Arabidopsis thaliana: one gene and its partner. The protein of the gene in region 1 interacts with the protein of each later gene in a pairwise test. Each region holds a gene or a part of one and is shown in the gene's direction. Other genes may lie near its edges.

Region 1 (8,669 bases):
GGTAATCATGTTGATATAGTCGATGTGAGCTCAGGCGAAGAGGATGTCGATACACGGGGAGACGTAGAATACACCGATTGGCTAAACGGTGTTATGGAACCCGTCGATGATACATCTGACAGTACCGATATAGTCGAGGTTCTTTCTGAGGTTAGAGGTGGTGTAAATTCTCAGTATCGGAAGCCAAACTCGTCGAATCAAGCTTTGGAAGATGATGACGACTGTGTGATTTTGGACTGTGATCCCGACAAGACGAGGGAGACTACTTCAGTTGACGACGACGATGATGATGATGTGCTTGTAGTGGGTCAAAAGGGTGAGGTATGTTTTCACTGAACCCTTCTCATTTCTAAGTTCTCTTTCGTTTTCTTCATTCGAATTGGTGTGAAAGGCAGAGTTTCTCATTTCAGATTATGTATGCGTTAGTGTTGTTTAGCTCTGAGGAACTGTTTTAGGAATGGATAGTTATTGAACTGTTTTGTGTTATTGTAAAGTAATCGTTGTAACATTGATGAACTTTTTTTCTTTGGTGATGGAACTGTTTTAGGAATGGATAGTTATTGAACTGTTTTGTGTTATTGTAATTTAATCGGTGTAACATTGATGAACTTTTTTTCTTTGGTGTGTTCCATCTTTATACAAGTGTTGTTCACTTAAGTTTTCCTAATATGAAAAAGCATTTTTTTTGTTTTGTAGATAGCATGTAGAGATTTCCCTCATCCGCGACATTCGTGTGCTAAGTATGCGTTCAACTCAACATCACATGAGAAGTACTGTGACATGGTAAGTATCTAAATATTCTCTAATTCTACACGGAGCGTTAATGGATTCTTTTCCTGGCTGATCCTTTTCATTTGGTTTCTCTTTCAAGTGTCATTGTTATGTGTGTGACATCCGTGCTCCGTGTCCATACTGGTGTATCGCTGTCTCCTCCATAGATCATTGTCATGCTAATGATAAAGAGAAGATATGGAAGAATCAACGTGAATACTTCAGGACAGGATACATGCCTACCGCACCATCTTCAAAACCTACTCCAAGTATTTTACGGGTACCCAAAAACACTTTGCTTCGGAAAAACCATGTTGAGATCCGGCCTTGTTCATCATCTACCCGTGTTGCTAATCCTTCAAGTGTCAAAGCCAGGCATAGAATCAGGCAACCGATTCCGCACAATCAAGGGTTGCAGAGTCAACCGGCACAGTCATTAAGCACTGTTCGCGACAGCGTGATCCAAAAGGATAGAAGTTCTTATAGGTTTAGCCTACGATCCCGAGTAGCCTCTTCTGCGGGAAATGGTATCAGCATCCGATTTAACAATGCTCAAGTTTCACAATCCAGTCACCATAGCTCTTCCACAGTGGCACCTACATTAAACCCGGAAACGTACACTCAACAACGCAATGTTCGTGATCATTGCACAGCGCTACCTGGTTCTCAGAGCAACGTGTTCACTCGACATGCAGACCAGAACATACGTGGTAGTGGAAATCGTCAGTTTCAGACAAATGTGGATCGGTTTGCTCCGTCCAAAGCTCCTCTTACTGCTGAAGATTCGCATACAGCTACGGTACAACAGCAACCAGGGATTAATGAAAACGTCTTGGAGACCAAACTATCGGAATTTGAGAAATGGCTAATGGAAAATCCTAACCCAACCGGCCCTGTTAGTCCGTTACCTGAACCGGGAAATCAAGACTATGCTAGTACGTTGTCATTTGATTTTGAAACATTTTTGAATGATTGAAAGATTCATAAGGGTAGTTTGTATCTCCGTCCCTAGGTTAACTCTCTTCACTGATTGTATTTTGTAGAGGGAGTGCTGTAGTTTATTACAATCTCGATTGTGTGTATCATTTAATTAGCTGCTACTAGTACATCATAAAATTAAGTCCTAAAAAGTACCTGTTTGCCAATTGACATAAATAATGTTTGTTGATTTGAGTTTTTTAAGGTCAAAAATCAAACATACCATCATTATCACTGCCTGTTTAAATGATTAGGGAGGGGAAAATATCCATGTAATGTAAAAGAAGACAATCAACAATCGAAAAGCGATAGATATAGAAAGAGGCACACACATATGGTCTTGATTAAATTTGATCAAACTTCTATTTTGCCTAATAGACAAATAGTCCAAATTTATCAAAACCGGAAAAACATTGTTATATTTTGGATCAAAATTACTTCTACCATCATTTAGTTAGCTTTTAATATTTTAGAAACAATTGAATTTTTGACCCAAAAAAAGAAACAATGGAAATAACTGATAAAGTCTTCTTAAAAGTATAGGAAATTTTGCCAAGTATATAGTATTAATTTTGGAAACAAACACGAAAATGGAATAGTTTTGAGAGTTGATACTTGTCATTTGTGGAATTATTACTATTACTTTTTAATGTAAAATATTTCGAAAATAAACTTTTAACAAAAGTAAAATCCGAAAATACTTAGTTTCCAAGTTTATAGAAATCAAGCCCAGCCCATTTGGGGTTTTTAATTTTTTTTTTTTTTTTTTTTTAAAAAAAAAAAAAAAAAAAAAATCAAACCCAAAACGATTCCGTTTAGTAGGCTAAAATTCAAGTAAGTCCCGGCCCAATAAGGCAACTAACGCCCAAAAAAGAAACGGTTTTGTCGATGTGACGGTAGCAAACGGCCACCAGTTTTGTCGTTTCGATGTGCGTGGCCACCACGCGCATACGAAACCGCGTCGGTGTTCGCTAACGCCATCATCATCGCCTTTTTTTTTTTTTTTTTTTTGCCTTTCTCCGAAAGCAGTCTCACTACGGCAACACACTACCCTACGCCCCCTTCCCACCATCAGCATTAAATTCTCTCTCTCTCTTCGCTTCTTCTGGTTTCGAATTCACTTTACTCTCTTCGCTTCCAATCTCTCTCTACCACTCTGATACCTTCGCCGGAGAAGAAGCTCTCGTTCTCTCTATCGTCGGAGAAGCTCTCGTTCTCTGCTTCCCTGCTCTGTACAGATCTCGAGCCGCATTTCGTGGATCTGTCAAAATCGCGTTAAAACCTACTCGCTTCTCTCTAACCCTAGGGTTTTTGAATTTTTTTCGGGACGAGGGAGAAATCAATGTCTGTGAAGCTTTGAGGAAGCTATATGGTTACACCTTTGGTTCTGGTTAGTCTTCGTTTTGATCGGCGGAGAGTGTTCGCCGAGGCTTGGTGTCTCCGTTATTGACTAATGGTGGTTTTTGATTTGAGATAAGAGATGCGGAACTTTGCGATGCTTCTGCTGTTAATTCTTCTTCTTCACTCTCTCGCCTCGTTTCCTATATGCTTTGGTATGAACTAGTTAACAAATTTCTTTTCCCCTTTTCAAATTTAGGAAACGATTTTGATAGGAGAAATTAACCTTTAGTTAAGTTGCTCTTACTTTGACAGCTCAAGATTAGTTGGTGGTCTATCTATATTTAGAATTGTTTATTGGATTTAGATATATTTAGAAGCTAATTTTGGTTATGTACAAAGTAAGCAAAAGAGTTTAGATTATTTAAGTTTGGAATCTGTGATTGTGAAGCGTGAGAGTGAAGATCAAGTCCTCACGTTTTGTGCCTTAATTGGCACACAACCTTTTAATAGCTAGAATGCACATAGATCTTACTCTTTCTTTTCTGAGTATCTTGAGGAAATATCGATTTTGTGTGACATTCTCTTGGCCAAATTTTATCCTCTACAGTTGGCATTATACTTTTAAACCCAAGAGAGGAGGATGGAGTATGCATACTATTAGAAACATTCTATTTTTTCGAAACTTTTCACTGCTATGAATATTCGACATGTGTAGAAAGAATCTATAGATGACTTATCAGCTTGCTTTATCATTTGCAGCTCGGTTATTTCCGATGAGTTTGCCATTTACCCGATCAAAGGCGCATCAAATGCATTTCTTTCATCCTTATCTTAATCCATCAGTTGCTCCTACACCTTCACCAGGTCAGTAAGGGAATCCTATTTGTCACCTAAACATAGTGTCATTATGTTTCTGTCTAGGAGTATTCATTGTTCATTGTCTTTCCCTTTTTAGCTTTTTCCCCCAACCCAAGTCGCATTCCACCACTAAGGCACAAGGGTCATCACCGTCATCGTCGCTGGCATTTAAGACGCAATGCCACTGCAGTGTCACCTTCGTCACATGGTAGTTCTTTTGCTTCTTGTTGGTTATCCTGCGTCCTATTATAGTGGCAACGATAATGTTTTATATGAATACTTTTTCTTCAGACTTCAGTTGATAAATCAAGCGTAGTAACTACTTTTTCCTGTGTATTTCCGGCTTTCCTTTTGATAGACTGTCAGCAGACATGTGTGGAGCCTCTCACTTCAACTCCCTTTGGTTCACCTTGTGGTTGTGTCTTCCCCATGAAAGTTCAGCTTCTACTAAGTGTCGCACCTTTTTCTATTTTCCCCGTGACCAACGAGTTAGAAATTGAGGTTGCTGCTGGAACATACTTGGAACAAAGCCAAGTGAAAATAATGGGTGCCAGTGCCGACAGTGAAAATCAAGGGAAAACAGTGGTGGATATTAACCTTGTTCCACTTGGGGAAAAGTTCGACAACACTACAGCAACACTTATTTATCAGAGATTCCGGCACAAGAAAGTACCTCTAAATGAGACTGTTTTTGGTGATTATGAGGTTACGCACATAAGTTATCCAGGTAAACTGATTTCATTCAGATGCAAGTTTCTACTTTTTTTTTGTTTTATTTCAAAGTTTGAACTTCTTAACCTTGCTTCAGGAATTCCTTCTTCTTCGCCAAATGGAGATGTTACTGGAGATGCTCCAGGAGGCCTTCCAATTCCGATCAATGCAACAACTTTTGCCAACAAAAGCCAGGGAATAGGTTTTAGAACGATTGCAATTATTGCGTTGTCAGGTTTTGTCCTCATTCTGGTTTTGGTTGGAGCTATTTCTATAATCGTGAAATGGAAGAAAATTGGGAAGTCATCTAATGCTGTTGGTCCGGCTTTGGCTCCATCGATTAACAAAAGGCCTGGTAATTTTCACCCTCTGACTTCTTAACGCTTCTATAGCTTTAAAAGAACCTGTTTCTGAAAAATTTATTCGCCTTGCAGGTGCTGGATCTATGTTTTCCAGTAGCGCCAGAAGCTCAGGCTCAGATTCTTTGATGTCTTCCATGGCTACATGTGCTTTATCAGTTAAGACCTTCACACTCTCCGAGCTTGAGAAGGCTACTGATAGATTCAGTGCCAAGAGGGTTTTGGGCGAGGGCGGATTTGGTCGTGTTTATCAGGGGAGTATGGAAGATGGAACTGAGGTTGCAGTGAAACTGCTAACTAGGGACAATCAGAATCGAGACCGTGAATTTATTGCCGAAGTCGAGATGCTAAGCCGTTTGCACCACCGCAATCTTGTGAAACTGATTGGAATATGCATTGAAGGTCGTACACGTTGCTTGATTTATGAGCTCGTCCACAATGGGAGTGTTGAGTCCCACTTACACGGTGACATATTCTTTTCTCTGCACTTTTAATAACAATATATCCCAATTATATCCATCACTTCTCGTTGCATCACCACCTAAAACCTGGCTTTCCGGTTGTTGACAAAACAGAAGGAACGCTTGATTGGGATGCGCGGTTGAAGATTGCACTTGGAGCAGCGAGAGGACTGGCTTATCTCCATGAAGATTCAAATCCCCGAGTAATCCACCGTGATTTCAAGGCTAGCAATGTTCTCCTAGAAGATGACTTTACCCCAAAAGTCTCAGACTTTGGACTGGCAAGAGAAGCAACCGAAGGAAGTCAACATATTTCAACTCGAGTCATGGGGACCTTTGGGTAAAATTTCTTTCCAACTCAAATATGATGAATACAGACACTCTGGACTTACAGTGACTACCCTGGAAATAATTTCAGGTACGTGGCTCCTGAGTATGCAATGACGGGGCATCTCCTTGTTAAAAGCGATGTCTATAGTTATGGTGTAGTTCTACTAGAGCTTCTAACCGGTAGAAGACCAGTAGACATGTCTCAACCTTCGGGAGAGGAAAACCTTGTGACATGGGCGAGACCCTTACTAGCCAACAGAGAGGGCCTGGAGCAACTGGTGGACCCTGCATTGGCTGGAACCTACAACTTTGATGACATGGCGAAAGTGGCTGCGATTGCCTCCATGTGCGTCCACCAAGAGGTCTCACACAGACCATTCATGGGTGAAGTTGTGCAGGCACTAAAACTTATATACAACGATGCAGATGAGACCTGTGGTGATTATTGCAGCCAAAAGGACTCATCAGTACCAGACTCTGCTGACTTCAAAGGCGATCTGGCTCCTTCGGATAGCAGCTGGTGGAATTTGACACCTCGGTTAAGGTATGGTCAAGCTTCGTCGTTCATAACAATGGATTATAGCTCAGGACCACTAGAGGACATGGAGAACCGGCCTCACTCTGCCTCTAGCATTCCAAGAGTAGGAGGTCTTATTCTACCAAACAGATCAGGTCCGTTAAGACCCATGCGTAGTAGAAGAAACTTCTTTAGACTGAGAGGAAGCATGAGCGAACACGGTGGACCGTCGTCGTCTAGACATCTCTGGTCCGGCAATGGTGACTGGCTCTGAGAAACCAGAAAATGTACAGTGAAGAAAAGGGAAAAGGAGGCTCACAAACTCTTGAGCTGCATGGTTAGGTTCTGGTTAATCCGGCCAGGTTCGGTTCATCTGGGTAAAGATTTCCGGTTTGATTTCTTTTAGGAGCTGTTTGTTGTTATGATTATCCTCAATAGAGATTTAATTGTTTGTTTTTGCGAGGATGCAAAAGCACAGGGAGGGTTGTATTTTGAAGGACGCCTGTATTTAGTTCTCTCCTTTTCTCTCTCACCCACAAAAAAACATTTTTATATATTTTATTTTAGTGAAGTTAGTAATTACCTAATTTTTTTTAGTTTTTCAAGTTCCTAAGAAATTTGGCTTTTGGTCATCGTTGTTAAGTTTCCGGTTTTCTGAATTTACATCCGAAATATTTTTTGGTTAAATAAAATTCTGGCTTGAGAGTAATTGGCTGGTGAATGGTAACAAGTCACTTGGTCAAAGCTGTTGTAATTCTTTTCTAATTTCTAGTATCTTCTGTAGATTGGACACAATGACATGGATTGTTGATCTTTAAAGTCGTAGAGTATAATTTGATATGTTTGTCTTTCTTCCTCCATATCTTCTTAATTCCTCCTTCCACTTCAGCCAAACCGAAGCTTGCTTTCGAGTTTCTGAGTCTTCTTCATTTTGTTATACAACACAGTCTAAAGAAAGAAAATCTGTAGGCCCAATAAACACAAAAATCGATTTATGGGCTAAGCAAACAACGGTCACAGTGGCTGAGTAAACGGAAGAGAAAAAAATATTTTAAAATTTTGAATTTAAAATTAATAAGGTCTTATTGGGCCTACATTATGAAACCTATCTAATCTCTCGAGATATAACAGTTGAGGACAAAACGCTAAAATCCGTTTGCGTTTGGTTTATATTGGCAAAAGCAAAATAATTTTTAATCGAGGAATATGTAGGAACGTCCGATTTAAGTATCTGACTGATCAGATCAACGTGACCAAACGAACCATGAAATGAATGCTACTGGAACCCAAAGTAAAGAACAAAGAAACTAGAATTGCTAGTTAGTATTCATAATATTAATAGTTAGTTTTTTAAGAAGTTAATTTTTTTTAATTGCTAAATATTTTTAATCAATAGTTAGTTTTTTTTCTTATATTATCAATTAAATATTTATTAAAATTTTCAAAATTACCGTGCAAAATTTATACTAAAAAATTATATACTCAATTGTTTTTCATATTACTTTCTTATGAAACTCATATCGTCATATGTATTGAGTTTAATTGTAATGATTTATTTTCTAATGAAAATAAGGAGTTAATATTTTCCAATTGATATGTATATGTGACGTATGAGCGAACAAAAAAGAAGAAGAAAATATATTTGTGGTTATATAGAAAAGAAAAATGTTACAAAAAATGGATTGTACCGAAGACAAAACCTCATGAGTCACTTAAGTAGAGAGAGAAACCAACTGAGCCAACATATCATTCCGAGTTTTGTTTTTTGTGTCTAAACCATAATTTCATGTTTGTGTTGTGTGAAAGCCATGGAAGCCGGCGGGAGCAAAACCAAGAAATGAGTTGCTTGCTACAAGAGGTACAATTCTTATAGAGAATATGTTTTTCACATCAAGATTGCGTTCCATTCGATTCATCAGCCTTAGTGTGGGGTTTGCTTCAAACATTGTAAATCATTCGAATCTGTTCGAGAACACCTTCACGGTATGGCTTGAGCTTATATGATCTTCTTGTTCTCTGTTTTTTTGTTGGGTTGGTGTTTGATTGATGATTATTTTGAACAATGTCAGTTCCGAACCATCCCTCTCGACCATTCAAAGAAAAATGCAAAACCATTTTCGCTGAAAAAGGGTGTGAACTTTGTCTTCAAGTCTTTGTGGAAGCCACTGCTAGGGATGAGCATATGAAAGAGTGTCTCATGTCTTCACCACCTCCTATCCAAAATGCTTCTAGTGCAAGTGGCACACGCGTGATGAGTCTGTGCATATCTAATTTTAGAAAAAACTATTTTGACTCTAGTGGATACAAAGATGTTTTTAACATTATACACTGTTAAAATTGAGT
Region 2 (5,144 bases), on another chromosome or scaffold:
AATCTATCATGTTTGGATGTTGCTTTGGATTTGAACTTCTTTCTTTACTTTGAATGCTTTGGATTCGATTCTAAACGATGTTTTTATGTCTTGCTTTGGATTTGAACTTCTTTCTTCTATTTGAATGGTTTTATTTGGATGTTTTGAATCTTGCTTTTTGGGTTGAACGTATGAAACTTTTATTATGTCATGCTTTATTGATTTTACTTTAAGTTTTTTTTATTACAAATTTACAGGTTTTATGGTATATGTGGTTAGTATCAAGTATGTTCGGGTATATTATAGTAGTTATAAACTAGTATCGAATAATATTCGGTTACTTTTTGGATTTTTCAATGGAAGTACCAATACCTACCCAAACCCAAAATTTACCGGATCGAACCCGAACCGAAGTTTTCAAATACCCGAACGGGGTCTAAAATTATAGTTCCGAAAAATCCGAACCCGAAAAAATCGATCCGAACCCGAACCGAATACCCAAACGCCCAGGACTAGGAGAAAAATACTCCTATCAACCAAATGAGTGTATATCAGACGATGTGTACGGACTAGCTTGATAATTAGTACAAGCGTCAAACAACAATTTTTTGAAATAAATTTAGAATTTTGTGCAATAAAAGCAAATTTCTTTGACCCAGCCGGTTATGCTCTAGTAAAATTAGTTAATGATCGCTAGAAGGACAAAGTCAATCTTGATTTTGATAATATCCTAATCTAACCAGAGTAATTACAAATTAACTGTATATGGCATAACCGATATTTTGGTAGTAATTGATTTGGCTCCTTATTACCATAAAGAAATAGAATTTTATTATAAAGAGATCAATTTTCTGATAGGTTAACTATACTAAGCTGATTAATATCAGTGTTGCGTGATTATATGGTATATTACGATTTGTATATCTTATTAAATGTGGATTATTTCTTAAAGCTTTTACTATGACACTAGGAATATATAACATTAATTTTCGTTTGATGTCGAAAATAATGGTTAGGTGAGATATAACAATCATAAACTAAATTAAAATAATATTTAACTTATCACGAATATTGTTCACATTGCTAACATACTAGCATGTATCCACATAGTATTGTTCACATTATAAGTAGAAAATTCTTATTAAAAAATAAAAAAATCACTACATTTTTTAATGCAATTTTATTGTTTACCTCCTAAAAAACAGATCAATTTCATAAAATAAAAAATAACTCGTAATAAAATTCCTCAAAAATAACCGATTTTGTATTATTTACTTTTTTGTCAATCGATATAAATTAGAACTAAAAAAAGTTAATCCCGAAAGATATTATTTATATATATGACATGATACGATCGATTTTATATCTATTTTTATCATTATTACCCCCGTTATTTCACATTTCTTATAACCTTTTGTTATTGTATAATTTTTCTTTTTATTATCAATCGGAACAAAGAAATACAGAAGTTAAAAGCAAAAGTAGTAAATATTATTAAACAATTATTGCGTGTAAAAATAGTGTATATGTGATCGTGTACAAAAGTACATGCATAACATGATCAATATAGAATGCAATACAACTATACAAATGTCAACAATCTACAAACACGTTTTAACTTTGAAAAGCAATCTAAAATTCATGAATCTAAATATACTCTCTGGCAGCTTTCTTATTACCATATCTTAAAGATTGAACCAAATAAATAAATTTACATCATTAACCAAATTAAACCATCCACATTTAATTTAATTACAACAAGTAAGTAAAAGATCGTCTCTTTCTTCTTTCCCGGAAAATCCTCTCATTTTTGACTTGCTCAATTTTGCTTCCTTAAGACCCAAAAATCCAAACCTAACCCTAATCGACATTTTCTCCGATTTCTAAATCCTCCTCCGGTGAAAATGTCTCACCTTGATGATCTTCCTTCTACTCCCGGAAAGTACAAAACCGATAAAGTTCCACCGTACGGGATTCTCCACCACCACCGTTACCTCCGTCTCTCAAAACTCACCCTTTGGGCTTCTCTCTTCCTCGCTCTCTTCCTCTTCTACCTCGTTTTATCTCCTCCTCCGTCACCATCTCGCCGGAATCTCAACGATTCTTCCTCCATTTCCGCCGCGAAATACGGCGGCTCTCACTGGGAGAAACAAGTCCGTAAATCCGCTCGTCCTAGGTCTCACGGCGGTTTAACGGTATTAGTCACCGGAGCTTCCGGATTCGTCGGTACTCACGTCTCGATCGCGTTACGAAGACGCGGCGATGGTGTTCTAGGTCTCGACAATTTCAATCGATACTACGATCCAAAGCTTAAACGAGCAAGACAAGGCCTTTTAGAAAGATCAGGTGTTTTCGTAGTCGAAGGCGATATAAACGACGCCGTTTTACTCAGAAAGCTCTTTGATGTTGTCCTCTTCACACATGTTATGCATCTCGCTGCTCAAGCTGGTGTGCGTTACGCAATGCAAAACCCTGGCTCATATGTTAACAGTAACATTGCTGGGTTTGTGAATCTATTAGAAGTATCGAAATCAGCGAATCCGCAACCTGCTATAGTCTGGGCTTCCTCTAGCTCTGTTTATGGTCTGAATTCGAAAGTACCCTTTTCGGAGAAAGACCGTACCGATCAACCAGCGAGTTTGTACGCAGCTACGAAGAAAGCAGGTGAAGGAATTGCGCATACTTACAATCACATCTACGGATTATCGTTAACGGGTTTGCGGTTTTTCACTGTCTATGGACCTTGGGGTAGACCAGATATGGCGTATTTCTTCTTTACTAAAGATATTCTTAAAGGGAAGACGATTACTGTGTTTGAATCTCCTGATAAAGGTAGTGTTGCTAGGGACTTCACTTACATTGATGATATTGTAAAAGGTTGTTTAGGTGCGTTAGATACTGCTGAGAAGAGTACTGGTAGTGGTGGTAAGAAGAAAGGTCCTGCTATGTTTAGGATTTATAATTTGGGGAATACTTCTCCTGTTCCTGTTACTAAGCTTGTGACTATATTAGAGAAGCTTTTGAAGATGAAAGCTAAGAAAAAGATCATGCCTCTACCGAGGAATGGGGATGTTGAGTTTACTCATGCCAATATCACGTTAGCGCAAGCAGAGCTCGGTTATAAACCTGCGGTTGATCTTGAGACGGGTTTGAAAAAGTTTGTGAAATGGTATATGGGTTTTTACACTGGCTCGAAGAAGAAGAGTTCTTGGTGAGCTCTGTCTCTCTGCTTAAGTCATGGTCTCTGTTTCCCCTTGTTGAGCTTGGAGTTCGCTCTAGGTTAAGCTTTTGAAACCGAGCACTTGCATTGCCAGGAAAAATCACTTACGTATCTGCATTGTTTCTGTGTTGCTAGATTTTGCTTCATTTATTTGTTAGTAGATTTTGAGCAATGTACAGCTTCATCACTTAGATGTTTCAATTGTCGAAACTCAATTGTCTTTTCCATCATGTCGGAGGAATAAAGTAGCTTGGATTTTGATGCATATACTCTGTAGTAATTCAATCTATTGTCACTTGTTTCTTGTGAATTCAAACATATATTTATTCTTATTCTGACCAATTTTTACATAGCTCTAATCACTTGACTAACGATGATGGTTTGGAAGAACAAATCAAATCACTGCATAATCTTATAACAAGAAACAATGAATGTTCTCTAGCCTGAAGTTTATGTAATATGCCAATAGATTCACAAGATTGTTCTCTAGCCTATACCATGTTATCTTCCTCTGCGCAATCAACCACGACATATGCGATGATGTTATCGACAAGTTCTTGAAGATCCAACACCATCTTCAGTATCGATCTTCCACCAGTCAACACCATCACCAATCTCCACAGGTTCCACCTCTGTTCCATTCTCAATCTCATCATCATAATCAAACTCGTAATCCCAAACACCGCAAGAACCACCTCTCTCTTTCTCCAAAGCAGGATCATAAGTCCACTCCAACTTCTTCAACACATCTCTATCCTTCCACTTCCCCACAACTTTCTCAACTTCCTTCTTCGCCTTCCCCATCGTCACTTCCTTCCACGAATACGCAACATCCGCTACTCGCTTCAGCGCACCTTCGTTCGAATCTCCAATCACAACCGTCCTCAAACACCTCTCCTTAGCTTCCCACAAAATCCCCGCAAAATCAGAATCATCAGACACTAAAACAACACACTCCACTTCTCTCTTATCCATCACTTCAACCAAATGTTCCTTCAACGCCTTATCAGCAGCATCTGGCTTATCACTAACCATCTTCACCCAAAAACCAGCTCGTTTCAGCTCATCAGCTAAACCGTAACCTTCCTTCGGAGTCAAAACATTCCTCGCCGCTCTTTTATACTTCTCAATCTTCATCGAATACTTAGCCACAAGTCTCACTCTTCGATGTCCTTTCGAAGATTCAATCTGTCTCATACGTTTCTGATTCTCTGTCTCATGAATCTGCTTGAAATGATTAATTAGCTTCTCGTTAGTGTAGAATCTCCGGTCACAAACACCGCAGAAGTAAGGCTCCGGTGGTTTAACTAAACCTTTGTTCTCTAATTTGTTTAGCAATTTCCTATCTTTCCTCTGTTCTCGAACTTCTAAAGGAACGTAGCTAAAGGCGTGACGATTCGCATACGCCATCATTAGCTTCACGGTTCCGAAAGACGACGCGGCGGTTCGGAGCTTGACGGCGGCGTCGTAAGGCGGGAAAGAGGCTGGTGGTTTGTTGTCTAGATCCCACCAAACCCCTACTCGGATTTTGGGTTTAGGGTTTATCGAGCTAGAGCTAAAGCTAAAACCTTTGATTGAATTGAGAGATGTGGTTTGGGTTTTAGGTCTCCAACTTTTTAGGACAAATCTTGAAAACATCGCCGGGATCTTTAAAATCGACGGAGAAGATGGGGGCTTCAAAAAACCCGGTTTACATTACATACCCGACCCGGATCCGATTAGAGTTCGGCGATTCTCATGTAAGTTCAATCTGGAGCAAAGAAGAAGACGAATTGAAATACAAAATATAACACCTATAACCCTGAACTTTGTAAATGTTACAATTTTCTTCCTTAACTTTATTAGGGAACAAAACACACCACTGTTCATAGAAAATTATCAAATTTCTACTGCATTAGGTTATTACTGTTATTGTTTTGAATACAGTAAAAGATAAAAACAAATA

What was found. Proteins that work in one complex are often made in the same cells at the same time.
Region 2: the proteins of ALE2 (region 1) and GAE5 interact in a protein complementation assay, tested with the Arabidopsis thaliana proteins (one large-scale study listed by BioGRID).

What each region holds. Positions count from the first base shown.
Region 1 is NC_003071.7:8,754,406-8,763,074, reverse strand, and holds ALE2 (Protein kinase superfamily protein), read left to right. Parts: upstream 1-2,776; 5' UTR 2,777-3,229; coding exon 3,230-3,302; intron 3,303-3,849; coding exon 3,850-3,954; intron 3,955-4,045; coding exon 4,046-4,156; intron 4,157-4,306; coding exon 4,307-4,675; intron 4,676-4,756; coding exon 4,757-5,014; intron 5,015-5,093; coding exon 5,094-5,483; intron 5,484-5,593; coding exon 5,594-5,819; intron 5,820-5,897; coding exon 5,898-6,600; 3' UTR 6,601-7,223; downstream 7,224-8,669. Other genes in the region: RIN13 (RPM1 interacting protein 13), read left to right, coding at 1-321, 697-783, 872-1,747. UniProt on the Arabidopsis thaliana protein: Required during the differentiation of the protoderm into shoots epidermis and cuticle.
Region 2 is NC_003075.7:7,287,588-7,292,731, reverse strand, and holds GAE5 (UDP-D-glucuronate 4-epimerase 5), read left to right. Parts: upstream 1-1,611; 5' UTR 1,612-1,883; coding exon 1,884-3,194; 3' UTR 3,195-3,540; downstream 3,541-5,144. Other genes in the region: AT4G12240 (zinc finger (C2H2 type) family protein), read right to left, coding at 3,743-4,837. UniProt on the Arabidopsis thaliana protein: Involved in the synthesis of the negatively charged monosaccharide that forms the backbone of pectic cell wall components.